Linked DNA regions of Pelodiscus sinensis. The protein of the gene in region 1 purifies or fractionates together with the protein of each later gene. This does not show direct contact. Links are inferred from orthologs where the notes say so. Each region holds a gene or a part of one and is shown on either strand. Other genes may lie near its edges.

Region 1 (11,453 bases):
TGGACACAGTACTCCAGCTGAGGCCTAACTAGCGCAGAGTAGAGTGGCAGAATGACTTCAAGAGTTTTGCTTACAACACACCTGTTGATACAACCTAGAATCATATTTGCTTTTTTTGCAACAGCATCACACTGTTGACTCATATTCAACTTGTGGTCCACTATGACCCCTAGATCTCTTTCCGCCATGCTCCTTCCTAGATGTGTAGCTGAGAGGCTGGAGGAGGGTACCACTGGAAGAAGGAGAAAAGGAGACAACAACTGACTACTAGGAGGATGAACCAGAGAGAAAGAAGGTGCTGGGGAAGTAGCTCAGGGATCTTTGGGGCTGTCTTATAGCAGGTGTTGGGAATTCACACAGGCAGCTGCTGTTACAGGGCCCTAGGCTGGAACTGGGAATAGAGGGTGGGCCCAAGTTTCCCCCCAACACTCACCTCCCCATTTCCACTTGGGAAAAAGGAATGTGGAGTTGATTCTCCATTTTACTATATGCTTGCCAATGATGAAAAGAGCTCAGCAAACAGCAAACTAATGCCCTTGGGCATGGTGCCTAAAACTGTAGGCTGCTGTGAGCTTTTGGGTGTGTCTAACCTACATGGCTCCATCGATGGAGCCATGTAGATTAGGCTGATCAGCAAAGGGAAATGAAGCCGCGATTTAAATAATTGCGGCTTCATTCAAATTTACATGGCTGCTGCGCTGAGCCGACAAACAGCTGATCAGCTGTTTGTCGGCTCAGAGCGCTAGTCTGGACGCTCCCGCGCCGACCTGAAAGCCCTTTATCGACCTCCCGGTTATGCCTCGTAGGATGAGGTTTACCGGGGAAGTCAATAAAAGGCTTTCATGTCGATGGGGGAGCGTCCAGACTAGCACACTGAGCCGACAAACAGCTGATCAGCTGTTTGTCGGCTCAGCGCGGCAGCCATGTAAATTTTAAATGAAGCCGTGATTATTTAAATCGCAGCTTCATTTCCCTTTGCCAAACAAACAAATCTACATGGCTCCATCGACGTACCCTTTGAGGCAAGCAAAATCCACCAGAAAGTGCAGGACCCACTGAGTTTTCGTAGGAGCTTTGTCACATATTATAACCCATGCTCCCTCCCATCTCCCAGATCTCCATGTTTTTCACATACCTGTGGGCTTTGGTCACCTGCTCCCATCAAACCTAGTTTGAAGCCAGTTTAAACTGGAAGTTCCCAGGAGGTTCTCCATTATCACTGCTGCTGCGTCCACTGAAGGGAGTTGGCTGCTAGGCAACTGAAACCCTGCTAACAGAATTTTGCAACAGGAGAAGGATTCTATACAGCTCTGTCAGAGGGGGTAGAGCTGGCTCACTTTGATGGAGGCAGCAAAAGTGATGGCAGCAATGGAGAACTGCAGTGTTGCCTTTGAAAATCCCATAGATACCTCCTTCCTTCCTATGCCTTCACTGAAGTACCTGGAGGATTTGCACATATACTAGCATTGGAAATTGTTCATAACTTACTTGGCCAATGCCACTAAGGAAATTTTTCCCAGGAAAGAAATCTGTGTCTCTTCTTACATATGTGCTCTGCATAATCTACTACTAGACCGTTCATTTTCCTACCTCTAGGATATAACAAGAGGTTCCCTAATTAAAGGAAAACCTCATTGCCCATTATTTGTAATTAATATATACATCAAGTATATCTTCTGTACATGTTTAAGGAAAGCAATTTAAGATTATTTTCCCCAAAGTACAAAACAAGCAAAAAATCCAATTCTCTCATATGATATTATAAGATGGCCTCATTATGGTGTTAACACACTTCCAAACCCCACCAGCCTGTCCAAATAAAATAGAAGATGGCAAAAAGGCCTGTCCTAAACAAAGGAATGTGTGCTCTGCTTAATTTGCATTTAAGAAGTACACAAAGTTATTAGGTAGTAAAGGAAACAAACAAACCTCAAATAGGTTAGATAAAACCAGCAGGAAAATACTTAGACTCGTTGACTTTTAAAGTCCAGTAAGAAATGATTTTTCAAGAGAGGGATAAGCTATAAAAAGGAGAGACAAACACCACAAGACAACCCCCTCTGTCCCTCTCTCTGCCCATCACATTCTTTGCACCTGAAACACAAGGAAATCTTGCACTGGACTTTGGGGAAGGGATTCCTGAGTTACAGGGTTTGGTCAATAAGACTGCTGAAAGCATTTGATGAGAAACTTTGCCTGAATCTCATAGGCTATGTCTACATTGGCATAATCTTGCGCAAATACTCTTTAACGCAAGAGTTCTTGCGTTAAAGTATTTGTGCAAGAGAGCGCCTACACTGGCATGTGCCTTTGCGCAAGAGATGTGCTTTTGTGCAAGAGCATCTGTGCTAGTGTAGACACTCTCTTGCGCAAGAAAGCTCCAATGGCCATTTTAGCCATTGGGCTTTCTTGTGCAAGAACTTCATGTTGCCTGTCTACACTGGCCTCTTGCGCAAGAACAGTTGTGGAAGAGGGCTTATTCCTGAGCAGAAGCATCATAGTTCTTGCGCAAGAAGCACTGATTTCACACATTAGAACGTCAGTGTTCTTGTGCAAGAACTCCCTGCCACTGTAGACAGGCAGCATGTTTTTGCACAAAAGCGGCTGCTTTGGCGCAAAATCATGCCAATGTAGACACAGCCATATAGTTTAAGTTAAAATGATGAGAAATCCTGTGGCACCGTATAGACTAACAGATTTATTGGAGCATAAGCTTTTGTGGGCAAAGACCCACTTCATCAGATGCATGTCTATTTAAGTTAGGTATTAGTAAACATTTTATTTTTCTTGTAACCATTTTTTACTTTTATGGATCATTTCTTTTACTCACATAAAATTCTCTTTATAGTTAAAGTTGTTTTATTTAATCTGTGTTCAAATTTAAGTGTCTTCTGAATAACTATTTGAGATAATAAAATGGCAAATTATTCCCTTCAAGGAATAACAAACAAAATATTTTGCACTGCCAGGAGAGGATGGAAAGTACAGGACATGCATTTCTAGGGGGGAAATCAGGGACTGGGATTGTGTTGGGGTTACACTGCTGTATAACCACGGCTGATGAAACCCAGGGTGTAACCAAATTGTGGTTGGCAGGCTGCAGTTACACAATCAAGATTTGGCTTGAGTGCTGGAAGGCTGTTTGTGAGCAGCCCAGAGAGGAGCTCCTTTTGCAAAGCATTGTAAGGCATCCAAGGCTGTAGGGGAGGGGTAACAAAAAGTTGATGATTAGTTTGGATTATGCCATAGTAAATCACAGAAACCTCCTGCCAAAGTCGTCAACCTGAACCAGGGTTTCTATAGCTGAACTTGAACTAGACAGTGTGACTTAAGCTTTGAGTTCTTACAATAGTCAGTGTGATGCAGGGACAATGCATAGGGGGGCACGAGGGGACGCATGCCTCAAACACAGTAGGTGAGAAGGGCAAAGGGCTGGGTGGGGCCAGAGTCCCTGGCATCCAGGGGGACTAGTGAGGGGCCTGGAACCTGCAGTGGAGGTCCAGCCTCCCAACACTCACCAGCAGTGGCAGGGAAAGCAAAGCAATGTGGCCCCAGCTTGCTTCACTCTTCCAGCTGTGTTGCCCATGCCTTCACCATCAGGAAGTGGAGCAATGAAGCCGGGGGGCACAGCGAGCTGAGGCCACTTTGCTCTGCTTTTCCCACTGCTGCTGGTGAATACAGGGGGCTGGATTCCCGACCCTGCTAGTCCTCCAGGCCACATCACTCAGGGGAAGGGAAGAGGCAGTATGGGGGCAGAGCAAAGACAGGGAAGAGGGCAGAGTAAGGGTGGAGTCAGGTGGAGCAAAGGCAGGGAGAGACAGGGCCTGAGATGGAGGCAGGTTGGCCTGGTCTTTCCTTGGGCTGTGGGTGAGGGAGTGTCATGTGGTCCACAGCCTCTCAGGTCTGACTTCATCCCTGGCTTGGTGGCTTCTCTGCTTCAAATACTTTTTAAATTCTCAGGCAATTTTATTTGCTTTGGTTCTGCACATTTGGTCCTCACTGAAAAAATTCAGAGACTGAGGTAGGAGATGGAGGCTAAAGAAAAAGAAGCATGCATATCTTTTTCTGGTTGTCTTCCCACCTCCACTAGAGGTGTGTGATTGATAATGCTCCCCTCCCAGCTGGGCAGTGGGTTACAATCACAACGCTTCCTTCACAGTCCCCTCACGTGTTAAAATGTCGATTTATAATCGATCGCTTCTCACAATCAAATGTTTTGGCCGAAATAATAAATTATAATGATAATGATTTGTAATTTATAAAACCTTTATAACTGTATAATTTTTTAGTATGTAATAAGATCATTTTTACCAGTGTTTCCACTCAAATTTTTCATTAACCTCTCTTATGCACCCTCATTTAATGATTATTTTGAACTCCTTTATATTTAAAAAAACCTGCAGTCTACATTTACAATAAAAGCCCACCACTCCCCGCCCCAGAAATTCCTGTGTATAGGCCAGAGTGGCTACTGCTATAGCGATCTAGCCACACTCACCTGGCCAAATAGCCATATTGTTCAAGCCAACTAGCCACCCTCAACTGGGAAAATAGCCACATGTGGCTCATGGCTAGTGTGCCAAACAAAGCTGATGAAGAAAGCATGTCTTAAAAGCAGAAGTCAGTTTGAAGAATTCAGACATAAACATCAGCGGATGGAGACACTCCCACCCCTCAAAATAGTGGGCAGAGGAGACTGAAATGATCTCCTCTGAGCAGTACAGTGATCATCCCTTTGCTAAGTAAGCACCTTTTCTGACAGAAAAGGTCAGGGAAACTTATCATATACTTTGACAACATCCTCCACCCCGTAATCCATTTTTCTGGAACATATAACTTTCAGCCCTACCTTTCTTGAAACTGCCACCTTTAAAACGGATACCTTGCCATCCAAAATGATTCCTCTCCCAGCCACCTCAAATGGTATCCCGTCCCCTTCACATAGCGTTGCCTGAGAGGATGAAATGTCATAACCCTGTCACTCCAGGTTATAGAAATGTAGCCGTGTGAGTCTGGTGTAGCTGAAACAAAATGCAGGACTATGTAGCACTTTAAAGACTAACAAGATGGTTTATTAGGTGATGAGCTTTCCTGGGCCAGACCCACTTCCTCAGATCAAATAGTGGAAGAAAATTGTCTCAACCATATATATATGTATCCTTTGGTATATATGGTTGTGACAATTTTCTTCCACTATTTGATCTGAGGAAGTGGGTCTGGCCCACGAAAGCTCATCATCTAATAAACCATCTTGTTAGTCTTTAAAGTGCTACATAGTCCTGTATTTTACTCCAGGTTATGGGTGGGTCACTCCGATAGCGTGGTGGGGTTTTTTTTTAAAACTCTGACTGCATTTCAAAGCATTTTCGGTGATCAATGACTCCTATGCCAGTGCCCCAAGAGTAGTTGAAAAGTCTCCTTTTCTGTGCCCCTTTCCTTCTTCGCGCCACGCCTGTGGTGGGATTCCTACGCAAGGGAGTGCGGCGGTGAGAGCGGGGCCATTGCTCCTCTAGAGGCCAGCCCTGGCTCCCGGCACCTTGTTTGAGCGGCCGGGTGGCGAAGGGAGGAGCAGCCGCTTTGAGTTTCACTTTCTATCCTCCCAGCGTGTACAGCGGGAAATCAAAACCGAACGAGAGGCTGCGGGGAATGCTGCCCTCTGAGGCCGCGCGGGGAGAGCGCAGCGCCGGCAGAGCAGGGGAAACCCGCGTCGAGAGCGGAGCTGTTGCCGGCTGCGGGCACCGAGGAGAACCCGAAAGCAGTGCCCCGAGCTCGCTTTTCTCACCGACGCTGCAGTGAGTATCCCCCTTGCCCCTCAGAGCTCGTGTGGGAATCCCTTGTGCAGGGCTGGACTTTTGAGGGTACGGCAATTTCTGGAGAAGCGCGCGGCTTCCACGGCAGGAAACCCTCACCCCTCTCTCGGCTGCTCGCTCTAGTCCAGCGCAGGTCAGCGCAGGTTGGCGTTACTGGGTTGCAGACTCAGAAGAAAGACCAAGGTCTTCGAGGAGATGGAAACCTATTTACCTTTCAGCGCTTTAAGTGTTCTCTCCCAGTCAGAGTGGAGGCAGGCTGGCCGGGGGAGCCTGCAAAGTTTGCACTCCTCCACCAGAAAACATCAGCTGCTCCAGGGACCAGCAGTCCAGCAGGTTCCACCCGCTCCCCACTAATGTAACTACATTCAAAAAAACAAAACAAAACCACGGTGTAAATACAAAGTTTCAAGTGGATTTGTTAAAGCTTTTCAGGGGGCACAGAATTATAAAGATCTCTCTCTCTCTCTCTCTCTCTCTATAAAAAACATTACTTTGTAATTAGTAAAAAAAAAATCAGATTCCCATATAACTGTGACCATTATAAAAGTACAATTTTATAGGGTGCATCTTCAGCTTGAAATAAGTGTGTGTCATTTTATGACACACAAATTGAGCATCTTATTTCGAAATAGCTTTTTTCATAATTTGGTGCTGTCTACACAGCACCAAATTTTGAAATGACCCTCTATTCCAAAACATCCCTTAGTCCTCGTGGAATGAGGCTTACAGGGATGTTGGAATAGTGAGCTTGAAATAACAGGCTTGCTGTTAAGATGCGGGATTGGTATCCCAAAATAGTGTTGCAGTGTAGACTTAATGAAGTTTTACTTGAGTTACAAACATTTTTGCTCTAGCAAACCTGAGAGCCCATTGATCCCAGAGAAGAATCTTTTTGTGGGGAATAGACATAAGCCAAGGATACTAGGGGGAAAAAACCCTTTTGCTGAACTATTTCTCCAGCTCTTATGAAGCAGAAGTAGGATTTCCTGTATATAAGAAGGTAAAAGGTACTATAGAAATTATGAGATTTCCTTGTATGAATAATGAAGACAAAATGTGAATATCGGATCACTGGTATTTTGGATGAATATGATTCTCTGGGTCGATGTAAATTTAGTTAACATTTAGTGCAATGTTTGTGAAATATTGAGGAGACATATGGGAAGACTAAATTTCCCTTTAAAATGTAGGTAGATTTATTTAGATGGATATTGCTAACCAGTTTTGTATATAAATAAGCATACCATATAGAAATTGTCAAGTTGCTAACAAAAAGACTGGTCGAAATTATCCCTTTGAATCTCAAACTGAAAGCTATTGAGACCAGTAAATCATTGTGATTTGGAAATTAAACTCTATACTGATTCATAGAGTCCATGGCTCAAAGGGACTATTGTGATTATTCAGTCCTATACCTTGTACAACCCAGGCCATAGAACTTCCCCGCAATAATTCCTAAAGGATGTCTTTTAGAGAAAACATCCAATCTTGATTTAAAACTTTGTCACTGATGGAGAATCCACTACAATGGTAAATTGTTACAGTGGTTAATTACTCTCACTGTTAAAAATGTATATTTTATTTCCAGTAGGGATGTGAAAGCCTAACCGTGTACATGGTTAATCAATGAGCCTGGACTCATTGGTTAACATGCATGGTTACATGCAGCCCTGTCTTGGTATCAGAAGCAGTGGTGCAGTGAGGGCAGGCAGGAGCTGTTCACAGCTCCACCAGCTCCTGGGGAGCCACCTGTCCCCTCCCCCACACTCCTGCCTCTGATACAGTGTGGGGTGGGAGGTGTGGGGTGGGAGGTATGTGGAAGCTAGTACTGGCGGGGAGCCATCTTAAAAACTGGCTCCCCATGTGCACTGACTTCTGGGGAGCAGTCTCTCCCCTGTGTGCAACCATGTAACCACTGAAATGTTCAGCAGTTACGTGTTTCCTTGAATACACACATTTTACTATCCCTAATTTCCACTATGGATTTGTCTAGCTTCAATTTCCAGCTAAACTCTGATTGTATTCTGCTCAACTTCATGCAGCATGGGGAAGGGCTGGCAGCATGATGGAGCTGATGCTGTGGGAAACCAGCTTTTAAGATGGCTTCTCCCAGCACTGGCTCCTGCCTCCCCCTCTTCACTGCCTCTGTAGGAGGCAGCGGAAGGGGTAGGCGGGTCTCCAGAGCCAGCATGTGAGGGGAACCTGCTTGAAAGCTGGGTTCCCATGTGTATCAGTTCCAGCCTGCCTCTCTTACCCTCCACACTACTGCCTCTCTATCGGAGGCAGTAGCACAGATGTGGAGGGACAGGCAGACCTGGTGCTCGGGGGTGCCTGCTTAAAGCTAGCTTCTCATGGGCACTGGCTCCTGCTCCCCTCCTTGCTGCCTCTAATAAAGAGGCAGCAAAAGGGTGCGAGATGCATGTAGTCAACAAGATTAACTGATAAGCCCAGGCTGATCGGTAAATTGTGTAGTCAACTACACGTTTATCCCCATGTCTGAATGTTCTGAGCTTGATGAGTCATTTGAAGTAGCTATCTATCTGAGTCCAAAGAGTCCAGCCCAGGGGTGGGCAAAGGAGCCTACTGGCTGGATCTGGCCCACCACGCTGGTGGACCTGGCCCATGGCCATCTTGCTGCTCCCCTGTTCCCAGGCCAATCAAGACCTGAGGACGAGGGAACGGATGAAGTCTTCTCCCCCTGCCAAGGGTGCACAGCGGCTAAAGAGAAATGCCGGTTCTTAAACAGCTGGCGTTTCTATCTAGCTACTGTATGCCCCTAGCAGGGTGGAGGCAGGGGTCAAGAGACTTTGCATGCTCCCCCCACTGGATCTTACTGGGTTAAATGTGTCCAAGGTCATACCTCAATGCGCCCCATATGTACAAACATTCCATAAGGGATGGGCAGCATAGCTAAAATTATGGTATATTGACAACCCCATAAGAAAAAGAAACCCAAAGGGTGTATTGTAAACTGCTTTGGGTGGAACTGGATTAGAAGTTGGAGTACTGGATGCCACTAACATAGAGGTATTGACAAACAAACGTACTAAATTGTTACAGCTGAAATACAAGAGTTGGGAAAGCCTGTCAGTGCATCCTTATCAAAATCAAGAATGGGAATATTGCCAGTATGGCAACAGCAGAGGGAAAAGGGTGTGTTACTGTTAGCAGGAACTATGGGATCTATACAAGTAAATATGTCCCTAGCATTGGCCTGTACACAGGCTTAGAAAATAAGTCAGCAATTGGTCATTCAATAATACAGGAAGGTGTACAAGGAAATTTGTTTTTGGAAATAAGAAAACTGTTGAGGGAAAATGTTACAGAAGGGGAGAAACAATGGCATGGTGGAAATTGGTAAATTTTACCTTAAACAAAAATCAAATGCTTCTACAAGCATCTATAGTAACTGTACACCCTAACCCAGGGGTGGGGAGCCTTTTTTGGGTGGGTGGGTGGGCGCTGACCCATAAAAAAAATCAGTTGTGAGGGCCACATACAAGTAAAAAAACAAACAACCCCACACTGACTGAGAAGGAGAAGGACGGTCCCCGCCAGTGTTCCCTCTAAGCTGGTGGCTCTCAGACTTTTTGGCCCGTGGCTCAATGTCAACCTTTCCATGGACCATCAGTTGCTAATGGAAACTCACTGTTAATTACAGAAGTATGCACAGGCCATTTTGCTAGTGCTGCAGTTAGGGAGACTGGTTTAATTTAAATGATTAAATAGATTAAGCACTTTACCTTTCTCATGTTAGTTTTCCAAACTTCATTTTAAATAAAGTAAAATATTAATTTATGGCTGACACAAAAGATTTCAATGTTTTCTTTATTCATGGTGGGGTAGGGAACCTTTTGTGTCAGGGGCCACTGACCCACAGAAAAATCAGTTGAGGACTGCGCAAGTGAGAATCAAAAACTCCTCCAGAACCCATAATTCTCACTGATGTGGCCCCCAACTCAGACACCACACTCCTTTGGCATTCCATAGGCCAGATTTACTTTACTGGGGTTCTGGAATTAGTAGATTTTTATGGATCCCCTCAGGCTATAGGGTGGGGATAAAAATGAGGGGTTCAGTGTGTGGGACAGAGCGGCCAGCAAATGGGATATGGATGGGGTGCAGGATCTGGGAGCGAGGTGGGGTGCAGAAGCAGGCTAGGAGTAAGGTGTCTGGTCAGGAGAGAGTGTGCAGAATCTGGCTGGGAGGGAGGGTGCAGAAGTGGACTGGGGGGTAGGATGTCTGGTTGGACAGAGAGATGGGGGCAGGAAGTGCCTGGGGCTAAACCTGAGGAGCAGAGTGGCTGAGGGGGTTCAGGGAGATGGGGGCGGCCCAGGTGCCCCTGGGAAGAGGGCTGGGGTAAAGGTGGCTCAGGAGGGTGTTTGGGGAGGTCAAGGTGGCTCGGGGGTGTCAAGGGAAATGGAGGGGCAAGGAGGCTGGGCACAGCAAAGCAGGGGTGGGCAGGTAGGTGTCCCCGAGGTGTCCAGGCCTGCAGGGGGTGGGGTCCCGCAGGGGTCCAGTTCATGGCATCCCAGAGCAAGTCCCCATGGGTGCAAAGCCCAAAAGGGCCCCAAGCCCTCACCTGCCTCCTGTGTGTGCAGGATCCTCAGTCCCAGCTGCTTTGCCTCCCACCACCACCGAGCCCTGCACAGCCCAACCTGCTGCCTAGGAAGGGGAGCGTGGGTGCTGGCTGCTTGCACACCGTGGGAGTCTGCCTGGCCAAACCCCGTGCAGCCCAATCTGTTACCTGTCCTGCAGGACCAGCTGAGGGATGTGCCGCTCTTACCATGGCAGTGGCGCTCCTCCATGTGTAGCTGTGTGCTCTATGCGGGCTGGGCTGGAGTTTGCTTTCTTCACCTCCCCTCCTGGCCGGAGCTGATGCTGCAGCCCCACGGTGGCATGCCTACCATGAGACTGCAGCAGCAGCATGGGTTCCCTGCTGCATGGGGGGGCGGGGGAGGAGGGAGGCGGGGAGGGGAGCTCCTGCTGGACTACACTTTGAGAACCACTGCTATAAGCAGTGTGGCAGCACAACTTCACAAGTGATTACTCAGCCCCACCTAGTCATCTCAGCTCCAGGCATGGAGCCCTGAGCCTCTGAATGGGCAGGGCTGATTAATCACCTGTGAAGCTGTGCTGCTAGGCAGGTTAGAGGGAACACTGCTCCCCACATTCCCCTTGCACACCAGAGACTACGGGGACCCAACCTAGTAGATTTGGTGTGCTCCAGCTCCACAGTGTGGCAGCAGGGCAGCTGGAACACCAGCGCACACTCCCCAATGCTGGGGGGGGGGAGGCCTTAAGCTTCGGGGGCCAGATTCAGGCAAGCTGGGGGCTGCATCTGGCCTCTGGGCCTGAGGTTCCCCATCTCTGTCCTAGCCTAACTGTTGATATGTATCCAGTGGTACCTATGGGAATCCAGCTAACAACAAAATAAACTAGGTATTCCAGTTATCATCATTCCTGGGCATATAAAGAAAATCAACAATGAAAAACCACTGACGTGTTTCAGTGTGTGGCCCAAAAAAATTTGGGATACATGTGTAAGGACCAAAATTTACAAGAAAGTGGTGAATGTTTCTATGTAAAAGACAAAGCAACCCCAAGATGTATGTTTGATTTATCAGGCCTGTACATGGTGTG
Region 2 (12,332 bases), on another chromosome or scaffold:
CCCGGAGTCACCTTGCGGCTCCGATCCAGGTTGTTCAGCAGGACTTGCAGTTGTCCCATCTGGCGGGCCAGCTCGGGGCTGGCGGGAGCCCCCTCTGCTGGAGAGACAGCGGCAGCTCGCAGGTGGGGGGTGGGGGGGAGGGGCAGGAACAGAACCTGCCCCCTAGCCCCACAGCTGGGGAGGGCCCCCCACCCATCCAGCCCCTTGCAGCACCGCGCCCCCTCCAAACCCCCCCCCCGGTGCAGCACCGCGCCCCCTACAGACCCCCCCCCCCCGGGTGCAGCACCGCACCCCCTACAGACCCCCCCCCCCCGGGTGCAGCACCGCGCCCCCTACAGACCCCCCCCCGGGTGCAGCACCGCGCCCCCTACAGACCCCCCCCCCCCGGGTGCAGCACCGCGCCCCCTACAGACCCCCCCCCCCCCGGGTGCAGCACCGCGCCCCCTACAGACCCCCCCCGGTGCAGCACCGCGCCCCCTCCAAACCTCTTCCCAGCCATGTACCGCACAGCCCCCCACCAAACCCCTGCCACACAGGGCCCCCTCCCCAGCCCCCTAACAGCTTGCTGGGATACGGGGGGGGGGGCAGCGCTGACTGCAAGGGGGAAGTGTCCCCGGCTGAGCCCCCTCCCCGCCACAGGAGGCCTTAGCCCCCTAGCACCACATTAGGTAGGGAGGGCGGCGGCGGCTCTGGGGAGGGGTCTCCTTGTCCCCCCACACCCCGCGCCCTCCTGGCGGCTCTGCCCTCCCTCGGGAAACCCGCCTGCACGTGGAGCATGTTGGGGGGAGCAAGCAGAAGACCCCCCCCTCCCCGACTACGCCTACCCCCAGGGTTGCTCAGCCCCCTCTGCTGCCCCATCCCCCCCCCCCACTTCACCCTCCCTCCGCCAGCCAGCCGGGCTCCTCACCCGCCATGCGGTGAACCTTATAGCGGAAATCGAAGGTGTCCTGCAGCTCCTCCAGGTGCCGCACGGTGCGATCCAGCTCCTGGCAGGGGGCAAAGGGAACCGGCTATGGGGGAAGGAGAGCCTGGGGTGCACGCTGGGGCTGGGTCCGGGGTCGGAGCCATCTGGCCACATGTTCAGGATGGGCTGGGGGCAGGGCCCCAGGCTCCCTACACACCGGGAAACTGAGGCATTTGCACCTAAGGCCCAGTGGGGAAGGGATGCAGGGGAACCAGCGCCCAGAGGGAGGAGGGGAGGCAGTGCAGCCCCAGGTATCCCCGCTGGAGGAGAGGGGTGCAGCCCAGGCTCCCCTGTCCCTCTCCTGCCAGCGTGGGGTGGTCTGGGGAGGGCACCGGGCGAGCTCCAGGCCATACCCACCTGCACCGCTGCCCGGGTCTCCGCCAGGCGCCCTGAAATCTTCTGCTGCCGGTCTGTCTCCATGGGGGCGCTGGACGGTGGCGGAGCTGTCGCCTGCAGGGGACGCACAAGAGACGGGCCCCTGAGCCCCCCAGCCGGAGCCAGGGGGGTGGGCCGGCTACCCAGGAAAGGGGGCTCTCCCCAATACAGCACTAGGGGGCGCGGCGGGAAGCCAGGCTGAGGGGGTCACTACTCAGGGAGGGAGGGAGGCAGACTGGGGGGCTCTGGTCTGGCAGGGAGTGGGGGAGGCACTGTGCTGCTGGGGGGGGCACTATGAGCCCAGGGATCGGCCCCTGCCCTGCCTTGCCTGCTGGGCTGCATGGCCCCTGCTCAGAATGGCCTTCTCCTCCAGCAGCAGGTTGGCGATGACGTTGGCCAGCTCCTCCGGGCGCTCCTGGTACTTGGCCTGGAAGGAAGCCAGAGGCGTTGGGATCGGGGGGGGGGGGGGGGGGCACAGACACCCTGCCCCACCCCCCTGGACCCCACCCACCTCCTCTCCCCCCAGCAGCCCGGCCCCCACCTGCAGGTTGAGCTTGGACTTGCGCAGGTTGTGTTTGAGCACGAAGTCCTCCTGGCGGGTGCCGAAGCGGCTGTACTGGTCGTCCAGCATGGCCAGAAGGGTGTGGAACAGCATGTGGGCCTGGGAGGAGTGGGACTCGGACACAGGGAGCTCGGCTGCCTGGCTCCTGGGGCAGAGACAAGGGCGCACTGCAGGGTCCCCGCCCCCAGACCGCCCCGCGCTGCCGGGAGAGCCCGGGCTGCACCCCACTCCTCCAGCGGGGACCCCCGGGGCTGCACTGTCCCTTTCCTGCCCCTCCCCCTCCAGCAGGGACCCCCGGGGCTGCACTGTCCCTTTCCTGCCCATCCCCCTCCAGCGGGGACCCCCGGGGCTGCACCGTCCCTTTCCTGCCGTCCCCCTCCAGCAGGGACCCCCGGGGCTGCACTGTCCCTTTCCTGCCCCTCCCCCTCCAGCGGGGATCCCGGGGGCTGCACCGTCCCTTTCCTGCCGTCCCCCTCCAGCAGGGACCCCCGGGGCTGCACCGTCCCTTTCCTGCCCCTCCCCCTCCAGCAGGGACCCCCGGGGCTGCACTGTCCCTTTCCTGCCGTCCCCCTCCAGCAGGGACCCCCGGGGCTGCACTGTCCCTTTCCTGCCGTCCCCCTCCAGCGGGGACCCCTGGGGCTGCACTGTCCCTTTCCTGCCCCTCCCCCTCCAGCAGGGACCCCTGGGGCTGCACCGTCCCTTTCCTGCCGTCCCCCTCCAGCGGGGACCCCTGGGGCTGCACCGTCCCTTTCCTGCCGTCCCCCTCCAGCAGGGACCCCCGGGGCTGCACCGTCCCTTTCCTGCCGTCCCCCTCCAGCGGGGACCCCCGGGGCTGCACTGTCCCTTTCCTGCCCCTCCCCCTCCAGCAGGGACCCCTGGGGCTGCACTGTCCCTTTCCTGCCCCTCCCCCTCCAGCGGGGACCCCTGGGGCTGCACTGTCCCTTTCCTGCCCCTCCCCCTCCAGCAGGGACCCCTGGGGCTGCACCGTCCCTTTCCTGCCGTCCCCCTCCAGCGGGGACCCCTGGGGCTGCACCGTCCCTTTCCTGCCGTCCCCCTCCAGCAGGGACCCCCGGGGCTGCACCGTCCCTTTCCTGCCGTCCCCCTCCAGCGGGGACCCCTGGGGCTGCACTGTCCCTTTCCTGCCCGTCCCCCTCCAGCGGGGACCCCCGGGGCATGCCAGCAGAGGTGCCTGAGGGTCGCATCTCTTCTCCTGCTCCCCCTTCCCGCAGGGCTGCCTGTGGGGGTGTCACTCCCCTCCCCCACACCAGACCACCCCCGGTTCAATCTGAGACGTCCCCAGCGCTTGCCGTGGGTCCCAGCTGCTGACTCTGCCCCCCCCATTAACCCTTCCCTCGCTGGCCGTTACCAGTTCTGGTCTTCGAGCCAGGGCGCCAGGTACTGCCGCACCTCCATGGGCAGGTGGTCGTCCGAGTACAGCTGGTGCACCTGATCCAGGTAGGCCTTCTCCAGCTGCTGCACCTCCTGCCACTGAGCCATGCTGGGGGCCGTGCCAGCCCCCCTCTGCGGAGCAAACCCAGGCAGCAGGTGAGTGGGGGCCAGGGGCTGGGACAGCAGCCTCCCCCTCCTGGGGCACAAGGAGCCTGCGTTCGGGGATGGGTCGGTCCCAGCTCTGCAGCCACCGCTGGGAAGGGAAACAGCCGCTGCCGCTGCCTCGAACCCGGCTCCCCCAGGGCCTCAGCAGCACAGAGCAGGGTCACTCCACACGGGGCAGCTGCCCCAGGCTGTGTGGAGAGGGGCTGCTGAATGGCACTGGAGGACCCCCATTGCCTGTGCCCCCCCCCAGCATTCATAGCTCATGCTAGCAACTGGCTTTCTTTTGGGTAAGAATCCAGCCCTTGGCTCCCTCAGCCCTGCCAGTGCCCCTCACTCCTGCCCCCCAGCCCTGCCAGTGCCCCTCACTCCTGCCCCCCCAGCCCTGCCAGTGCCCCTCACTCCTTCCCCCCCAGCCCCTGCCCCCACAGCCCTGCCAGTGCCCCTCACTCCTGCCCCCGCCCCTCACTCCTGCCCCCCCCCACCCTGCCGGTGCCCCTCACTCCTGCCCCCCCCACCCTGCCGGTGCCCCTCACTCCTGCCCCCCCCACCCTGCCAGTGCCCCTCACTCCTGCCCCCCAGCCCTGCCAGTGCCCCTCACTCCTGCCCCCCAGCCCTGCCAGTGCCCCTCACTCCTGCCCCCACAGCCCCTGCCCCCCCAGCCCTGCCAGTGCCCCTCACTCCTGCCCCCACAGCCCCTGCCCCCCCAGCCCTGCCAGTGCCCCTCACTCCTTCCCCCCCAGCCCCTGCCCCCACAGCCCTGCCAGTGCCCCTCACTCCTGCCCCCCACAGCCCTGCCGGTGCCCCTCACTCCTTCCCCCCAGCCCTGCCAGTGCCCCTCACTCCTGCCCCCCCAGCCTGTGCCCCCACTCCTGCCCCACAGCCCTTGCCCCCCACTCCTGCCCCACAGCCCTGCCGGTGCCCCTCACTCCTGCCCCCCACAGCCCCTGCCAGCGCCCCTCACTCCTGCCCCACAGCCCCTGCCCCCACAGCCTTGCCAGTGCCCCTCACTCCTGCCCCACAGCCCTGCCAGTGCCCCTCACTCCTGCCCCACAGCCTCTGCCCCCCCAGCCCCTGCCCCTCACTCCTGCCCCACAGCCCCTGCCAGTCCAGCCCGGCATAAAGGGAACCCACCAGGAAATCAAAGCTGAGGAAAGATGTAGCAGCAGTTGTCAGAGCACAGATGCCTCCCTAGGTCATTTAGGACAGTTTCCAGCCTCCGCCCGCTATGGCCACAGGGGCCTAGCGGCTGGACCCCCCCCCCAAGCCTGCATCCCTCCATGGGAGCGTCTGCAAGCTGGACAAAGCAGCAGCCTGTGGATGTGAAACTAGGAGAGGAGACTCAACCGCAGACACAAACCACAGGCCCCAAGCCGCAGGGCCCCCGCACGAGGGCCGTAAGCTGGGGGGCAAAGCTGGGCTGCTTTGGGGGTGCCAGGAAATGAGCCCTCCGGTTCCTGCAAAGCCCTCACCCCGTCTCACTGGGCTCCGGGGGCCTCTGCAGAGCCGCTCGCTCTGGGGAAGGTCTTTAAGGGCAGGAACTGCACAAATCCTTGGGAGGAGCCGGGGCCCTTCAGCTAAAAGGGGGAGCCGAGGGGGGGCCCAAGGCTGGGCGTTGGGAGCGAGGGGCACTGGCAGAGCTGAGGGGAGCCCAGGGGCTGTGGGGCGCAGTCAAAGCTGAGCGCCACACATTGAACACCCCCTAGTTCCGCCTTTGAACTTCAGCGCCACCCTCCCTGGCACCCAGCCACTTGACACCATCAGCGCGTGAAGCCATTTCCAAACATGCCCCCCCACCCAGGCCCGAGTCCTGCTCCCAGCTGCAAAAGCAATTTGCTCTCCTGTCAACCCCCGAGGGAAGGGAGATGGGGGGGGGGGGCGCGCGTGCCAGGGCTTGGCTAGACCAGGGCTCAGGTGAGGCACCAGGTGCCCTGCCGTCAAAGCCTGTCACCCACGGCTGAGTGCAACCCACGTCCTCGCCTCTGCATGTCCCCAGCCCTCCCTCCTGGCTCGGCTCCGGCGGGGTTGGGGCTAACCCCTTCAGGATAGGCTGAGGAGGGATTCGGTGCACCCGAGGGCAGAAAGGGCCAGGCCAGGCGGTTTCTGGCCTCACCCAGGGGCTCGGGTGATCAGACTCCTGACCGGGCTCCCCAGGGGGAAGCCAGGAAGTCAACTGCAGCTTGCATCACATGCAGAGAGGGGCGGTGTCTGCCCCACAGAGCACGTTCCCTGGGCCGGGCCTTACCTGCCAAGGGGCTGCAAGTGCCAACCACTGCCCAGAGCTGCACCCCCGCCATGACAGCCCTGCCCCCTGCTCCACAGGGTTCATGGAGGGAGGGGTGGGGCTAACACTGGTCGGGAGACTCCTGCCCCAGGGGGCAGGGCACCATGACAGCCAGCCCCGAACCGCCAATACCAGCCCCACTCCATCCAGAACCCCCAGTACCAGCCCCACCCCCCACATAAAGGGGGCACTGTGAGGAGGTAAAAAGGGCTTACACTGCTCCTTAACAACTCATCAGCTGGCAGCGACAGCAGCCCCCGGACACCCCTCCACTGCCCCCAGCCCCGTCCCCAGAACCCCCCAGTGCCGCCTTTACCCCTTGAGCCCCCAGCCTCTCCACTGCCCCCTGCACCCAGCCCCAGCTCTAACCACTAGAGCCCCCAGCCCCCCCACTGCCCCCTGCACCCAGCCCCAGCTCTAACCACTAGAGCCCCCAGCCCCCCCACTGCCCCCTGCACCCAGCCCCAGCTCTAACCACTAGAGCCCCCAGCCCCCCCACTGCCCCCTGCACCCAGCCCCAGAGCCCCCAGTGCCAGCTCTAACCACTACAGCCCCCAGCCCCTCCACTGCCCCCTGCACCCAGCCCCAGCTCTAACCACTAGAGAACCCAGCCCCAGATTCCCCAGTGCCAGCTCTAACCCCTAGAGCCCCCAGCCCCCCCACTGCCCCCTGCACCCAGCCCCAGAGCCCCCAGTGCCAGCTCTAACCCCTAGAGCCCCCAGCCCCCCCACTGCCCCCTGCACCCAGCCCCAGAGCCCCCAGTGCCAGCTCTAACCACTAGAGCCCCCAGCCCCCTAGTAGCCCCCATCCCATTGCCTGCCCCGCCCCCCTCACCTGGCTCCGAGGCTGCCCGGCTCGCTGGTGTTCTAAGCCTGCCGTGCCGGCCTCCGCGCGACCCTCCCACCGCGCAGCGACCCGCTCTTCCTCCTCCGGGAGGAGACCCCGCCCCTGCCCGACGCCGGTTGGCTGAGAGGCGGGGCAGGACACGCCTCCCTCCATCAGCGGCGGCGGGAGGGGAGGCGCTAAGCGGAAGACCGGAGCCCGGGGCCGAAGCCAGCCTACTGAATTCCCAGAAATGATGTAACAGGGGAGAAAGAGGCGGGGCCTCGGAAAGGGGGCGGAGCTATACTAAGAGAGTGAATGAGGGGCGGGGCCCGCAGAGTGGGGCGGCTTCGCCCACTCTCCCCACTGGGGAGCCCAGGCCCCAGCGGGGGGGCCAATCCAACACCCCAAGCCAAGCCCCCCAGTGCCGGCCCCTCCACTGCCCCCCTGCATCGCGTCCCCAGAGCCCCCCAGTGCCGGCCCCTCCGCTGCCCCCCTGCATCGCGTCCCCAGAGCCCCCCGGTTCCAGCCCCTCCGCTGCCCCCCTGCATCGCGTCCCCAGAGCCCCCCAGTGCCGGCCCCTCCGCTGCCCCCCTGCATCGCGTCCCCAGAGCCCCCCAGTGCCGGCCCCTCCGCTGCCCCCCTGCATCGCGTCCCCAGAGCCCCCCAGTGCCGGCCCCTCCGCTGCCCCCCTGCATCGCGTCCCCAGAGCCCCCCAGTGCCGGCCCCTCCGCTGCCCCCCTGCATCGCGTCCCCAGAGCCCCCCCGTGCCGGCCCCTCCGCTGCCCCCTGCATCCCGTCCCCAGAGCCCCCCGGTGCCGGCCCCTCCGCTGCCCCCCTGCATCCCGTCCCCAGAGCCCCCCCGTGCCGGCCCCTCCGCTGCCCCCCTGCATCCCGTCCCCAGAGCCCCCCCGTGCTGGCCCCTCCGCTGCCCCCCTGCATCCCGTCCCCAGAGCCCCCCCAGTGCCGGCCCCTCCGCTGCCCCCCTGCATCCCGTCCCCAGAGCCCCCCAGTGCCGGCCCCTCCGCTGCCCCCCTGCATCGCGTCCCCAGAGCCCCCCAGTGCCGACCCCTCCGCTGCCCCCCTGCATCGTGTCCCCAGAGCCCGTCGGTGCCGGCCCCTCCGCTGCCCCCCTGCATCCAGTCCCCAGAGCCCCCCAGTGCCAGCCCTAACCCCTAGAGCCTCCAGCCCCTCCACTGCCCCCCTGCTGAGGGACATCCCCCTTCTCTCATCACCCTGCCAGGGGTTAGTAGTCCCTGCCCGGGGCTCTCCCTGGCCCTGCAGAGGAGGGGCAGGCATGGTCTTTGGGCAATGAATCAGCTCCTGCAGTACCAGCAGTGTCGTCCCCCCCCCCGCCCCAGGGACATGCGAGGATGCAGCCCAGCCAAAGGGGGATGCCAGGCCCAGCCCCGCATGGCCCTATGCAGAGCTGCAGGGGCTCCTCTCTGCCCAGGCTGGTGCTGCACGGTTCTCTAATCTTCCTCCCCCTTCTGGGCCAGGCCCCAGCCCACGCTGCTCATGGGAGGGTGACGCGGCTCCGGGGAGCAGCTGGGTTCCTCCGCCTGGGGATGGGTCTCTCCAATAATCCGTCATTGCAGCTGGGCAGATGTTTCCACCCTAGCCAGCTGGCCCCAGAGCCCAGGCACTGCGCTGGTGTGAGTAGTGGGGTGTGCTGTACACGCTCTGCGTGGGTGTCCCCGTCCCCCAGCACCCTGACACCTGGGCTAGGTAGTGGAACCTGAAACAAAGCAAAGGGTGCGGCTGCCGGGGGGCTGAGTTGCTGGAGGTTTGGGCAGGCTTGGCAGAGGGAAGCATGAAGGAAGCAGACTAAATCCAGGGCCTGTGAACCCCTTTCCCCCGAGAGGACGAGGCTCTGCCCTGGCTCCTGTGTCAATGTCGAGCCTGCGCTGCCCTGTATCTCTGGGAAGCAAATCAACCTTCTGTTCTGCAGCTTGGCTGAGTCTCACATCCGGCTGCAGACAGGGGTGCAGGGTCGGGGGCTCCCCGACGCGGCGCCGCACCTTGGTCCTGGGCACACTGCAGGGGCCAGGGTTTGCTCACAGGGGCAGGGAGCTGGCGCTCTCTCCAGGGCCCCTGCCGTGTAGCTTCGGCTCTCAACGCACTTGTCAAAAGGCTGGGGACTGATAAATGCACCCAAGTCAAGACCAGAACCCAGGTGGCCTCGTACCCTGCTGTGACCACTAGCCCACGCTTTCCCGGTTGGTAACAAACTGCGTTAGGCAGGACGAGGCTGGGCCGGGCAGGCCACGTGACTGGGGGAAATTTGCTCAGCCAGCACCTTTGAGCCCTGCTGATCTTTATAGACACTTGGCAGCTGGCTGTCTGGGTCAGGCTAACCCTGGCGAGAGGTCATAAGCCCTTTGTCAATTTCATGCACAGGCGCCCATGCTGAGCTCGCAGGCACATGGTGGGGGTAGGGCCTTCCCACCTCCCCTGAGGCCAGACTCCAGCCCCAATGCCTGCTGTGGCTGAGACAGCAGGCCAGCAGGACTGGGTTGAGACCCAGCATCCTCGCTGCATGTAGGAGGGTGCAATTGGCTAGGCCTGAAGCTGGGCTGGCTATAAGGCAGCTCCCCTCCATGCCCCCCCCCCCAGCTGCCCCCATCACAGACACCGGCACTAGGATCAAAGCACGGGGGGTGCTCAGGTTTATTCACACTCGCCGCGTTCCCAGTGGGAAGGAGGTGGCTACCCTGAAGGGGCCAGAGAAGCTCGTGGGCAGGGGTTCAGCCGGCGCCACCTGCCGGAAGTAGCTGATCAGAGACCGCACGCCCACTTTGAATGCTGGCCTCAGCCCCAAGGCCGCCCCCACGGCCATGGGGCTCCCCATCCCGCCCGTCAGCCCCAAGAGGGCGTCGTAGCCCAGATCCATGGCGGCCTCGAGGCCCCGGTCCTGGGCCAGCTCGGTGCAGTTCCGGAAGGCGTAGTACATGCTGGTGCCCACGTTGTAGTACGTGCTGACCACGGGCACCCACTGCAGCACACTGTGGACCTTCTGCTCCCGTGCGTTGCCGCAGGCTGCCACGGTCCCGCGCCGGCTCCTCCCGGCCCGGCTGCAGCGGTGAAGCCAGGCTGGGGCCCCGCGGCCCGGCAGGGAGTAGGCGCCGTGCCGGTCGATCACGGAGAAAGCGGTGCCATTGGGCGCCACGCCGGCACAGGCAGCCCCCAGCTGGCGGCAGGCGGCGGCGGCGGCGGGGAAGGTGGCATGGGTGCTGGCCACCGGGCCCAGCAGCAGGGAGTCGAGCCGAGCCAGCCCTGAGCAGCGCTGGGGGTCCACGCCTGCCAGCTGATCCACATTGAAGAGCAAGGCGGCCCGGCCTCTCCCACCCTGCTTGGGGGCTCCGGGCAGGCTCGCTACCCCCAGGAGCAGAGCGTTGGCATCGTCCGTCCCCACCGCCTCGTAGAGCTGCAGCACCAGCGCCTCGGCCTGGTGGGGGCAGCCGGCCCCTTGGAGGGAGAGGGCCAAGGCTGCGCTGGCGAGGCTCCAGGGCAGCGGTGGGAGCTCGGAGAAACCCTCCAGGGCTGCGGGCAGCAAGTCGGGGCAGGAGACACCCCTCCTTGGGAGCCCCGGCTGGGGAAGCTGCAATGGGAGGGAGCCAAGCAAGGCCCTGGCCCCAGCCCGCTGGCCGCTGGGGAAGGGGGAGACAGCCAGGCCTGGGGGCTTGAGGGTCCCAGCGGCGCCTCCCGGGCGAGTTGTGGGGAGCAGCAAGTGCCCCTCGAGCTCAGGGCCCAGCAGGAGTAGGCAGAAACAGAGAAGTGACGGGTGCATGGCGGGCAGGTCCTTCGGGGGGCAGCGCAGACCCTGCTGAAGGGGACACGTCACAGACACAAGAATTCAGAGCCCCTCCCTGCCACCCAGGATCTGCTGCTATTGCCACAGCTGGGGGCGGGGACCAATCTTTGTCCTCTGGAGCACGGCAGCATGGCCAGCCATGCCCCAGCTGCACAGGGCTGGGCTAGGAGGGGGACTGGAACGGGGGTCACTGCAGAGCGGTAGGGGGGCAGCGTGGCCTAATGGACAGGACACAGCATTGGGATGCCGGAGGTCCCTGTCTTGCTCCCAGCTCTGCCCTTGGCCTGCCGGGCTCTGTGCCTCAGTTTCCCCATCTCTACCACACCCTGAGATCCGCAGACAGGAAGTGTGACCGGAGCAGCTGGGACCGTTCTGGCAGGGACGCCAGCCTGGCGCGAGCAGGTGGCTGCAGGTTGGGAGCAAGGGCGCCGACAAACCCCCAAGCCTCTGGAGCCCAAAGGGGGCCCCCCCGGAGCTGGGCACGGGGAGGTGGTCCCTCAACACAGATGGGTTCTGGGAGCAAAACAGGCCCCTCCTTTCCTATGCAGTTAGAAGCAGCTGCACTGAACCGGGTGGCAGGGTGCACCCCCCCCCAAGGAACCAGTGAGGCCGGTAGGCACCAATTGGGCCATTCCCCCAGGGCACTGGGCTGCCTGAGTTGGAAAAGAGCCCCCCCCCTCCCGACTGCTCACCAACATCAGCATCCAGGGGAGGGCAGGGAGCAAATTCCCACCCTCGATTCAGCCCAAGGGACCCACACAGCATAGAGCTTCCATCCCCCCCAGGAAATAGGGCATCCCCCCCCCCCCCCACTGCCAGGGAATTGCACGCTGAGGGGGGAGAATGATGTAATAGCAGTCCCCCCCATAACAGTCCCCCCCCCAGTGAGAGAGCCACCCCATCGGGTTTTGGCACCTGACGCTCGTGCAAAGGCCTAGTGTAAACGTGCCCCCTCCCCGTGCGAGAGCAAACCGCGGCAGCAGCGGCGTTAGGGCTTCTGCTCACCTGGGGACAGATGAGACCAGGAGCTCCTGGGTGCGGGGAGGGATGGTAGGATGCCTGGCCCGCCCGGCCCCTCTTATAGGCCACCGGGGGGAGGTCACTAGGCTAGGGGCCCCCTTATCAGGCAGCTGATCAGCCCACCGGTCCCTGCTCCCTTCTCTCCGGGGCGGGTGCAGGAGCCTCAGGCTGGGGGGCCAGCCCCTTGTGGGGCAGGCAGCAGGGGAGGTGGGGACTGGGAGGGAGGGGAGGGCAGCGAGATGTGGGTGAAGCTGGCCCAGGCCCCCCTCCTCAGGCCAGCTCTGGTGCAGGAGGCAGTGCGGGGGAGGGCAGAGCCAACCCCCAGCCTGGGGCTGCCACAGGGAGGGGCGCTCAGAACCCCCCATTGCAACAGGGAGATAAGGGAGCAGGTTCAGCCCATTTTATTTTGGCCTTTGCCCATTCGCAATGACACAGCAAACAAGGGGGGGGGGTGCGCGACTCCTGCTGGAAACTAAACGAGGAAGGGGGCTGGGGTGCAGGCCCCACGCAGGGAACAACCCGGGGAGGGGGGCGTTAAGGCCTCTGGGGGCGCAGCGAGGCACCAGCAGAACTAACGCCTCCCTCTGCTGAGCACACCAAGGCACAGCTGCTCCAGCCCCACTGATCCAGCCCTACTGCTCCAGCAGGGGCCCCTCCTGGCTGGCTGACAGGCCCCAGCAGATCCACCATCCAGCCCCAGGCATCATGGCACCTCCTGGGGGGGAGGGGGGGTTCCCACGCTCAATCCACTGGGATTTGGGGGGGGGGGGGCAGAGGGGTCTGTGTCCTGCTGGGTGGACACTGGGGCATCTGGGCCTGGCCAGGACAGAGGGGCTGGGCCTGGGTCTCCCCTCCCCCAAGATGCCCCCTTCCCACGTGAGGCTGCAGCCCCCAGGCAGGCCACTTCCCGGTGACTCCCTTGGGGGAGGCAGCCACACGA

What was found.
Region 2: the proteins of USP18 (region 1) and STAT2 purify together in Homo sapiens (affinity purification with western blotting; 6 studies listed by BioGRID and IntAct, with this or other methods). This does not show direct contact. The link is inferred for Pelodiscus sinensis from reciprocal best matches to the Homo sapiens genes USP18 and STAT2.

What each region holds. Positions count from the first base shown.
Region 1 is NC_134711.1:110,691,741-110,703,193, forward strand, and holds the start of USP18 (ubl carboxyl-terminal hydrolase 18), read left to right. Parts: upstream 1-5,715; 5' UTR 5,716-5,792; intron 5,793-11,453. UniProt on the Homo sapiens protein: Interferon-induced ISG15-specific protease that plays a crucial role for maintaining a proper balance of ISG15-conjugated proteins in cells. Regulates protein ISGylation by efficiently cleaving ISG15 conjugates linked via isopeptide bonds.
Region 2 is NC_134729.1:3,802,840-3,815,171, reverse strand, and holds the start of STAT2 (signal transducer and activator of transcription 2), read right to left. Parts: upstream 5,910-12,332; 5' UTR 5,782-5,909; coding exon 5,698-5,781; intron 3,423-5,697; coding exon 3,268-3,422; intron 2,047-3,267; coding exon 1,881-2,046; intron 1,767-1,880; coding exon 1,668-1,766; intron 1,415-1,667; coding exon 1,322-1,414; intron 987-1,321; coding exon 908-986; intron 98-907; coding exon 12-97; intron 1-11. Other genes in the region: APOF (apolipoprotein F), read right to left, coding at 9,233-10,348. UniProt on the Homo sapiens protein: Signal transducer and activator of transcription that mediates signaling by type I interferons (IFN-alpha and IFN-beta).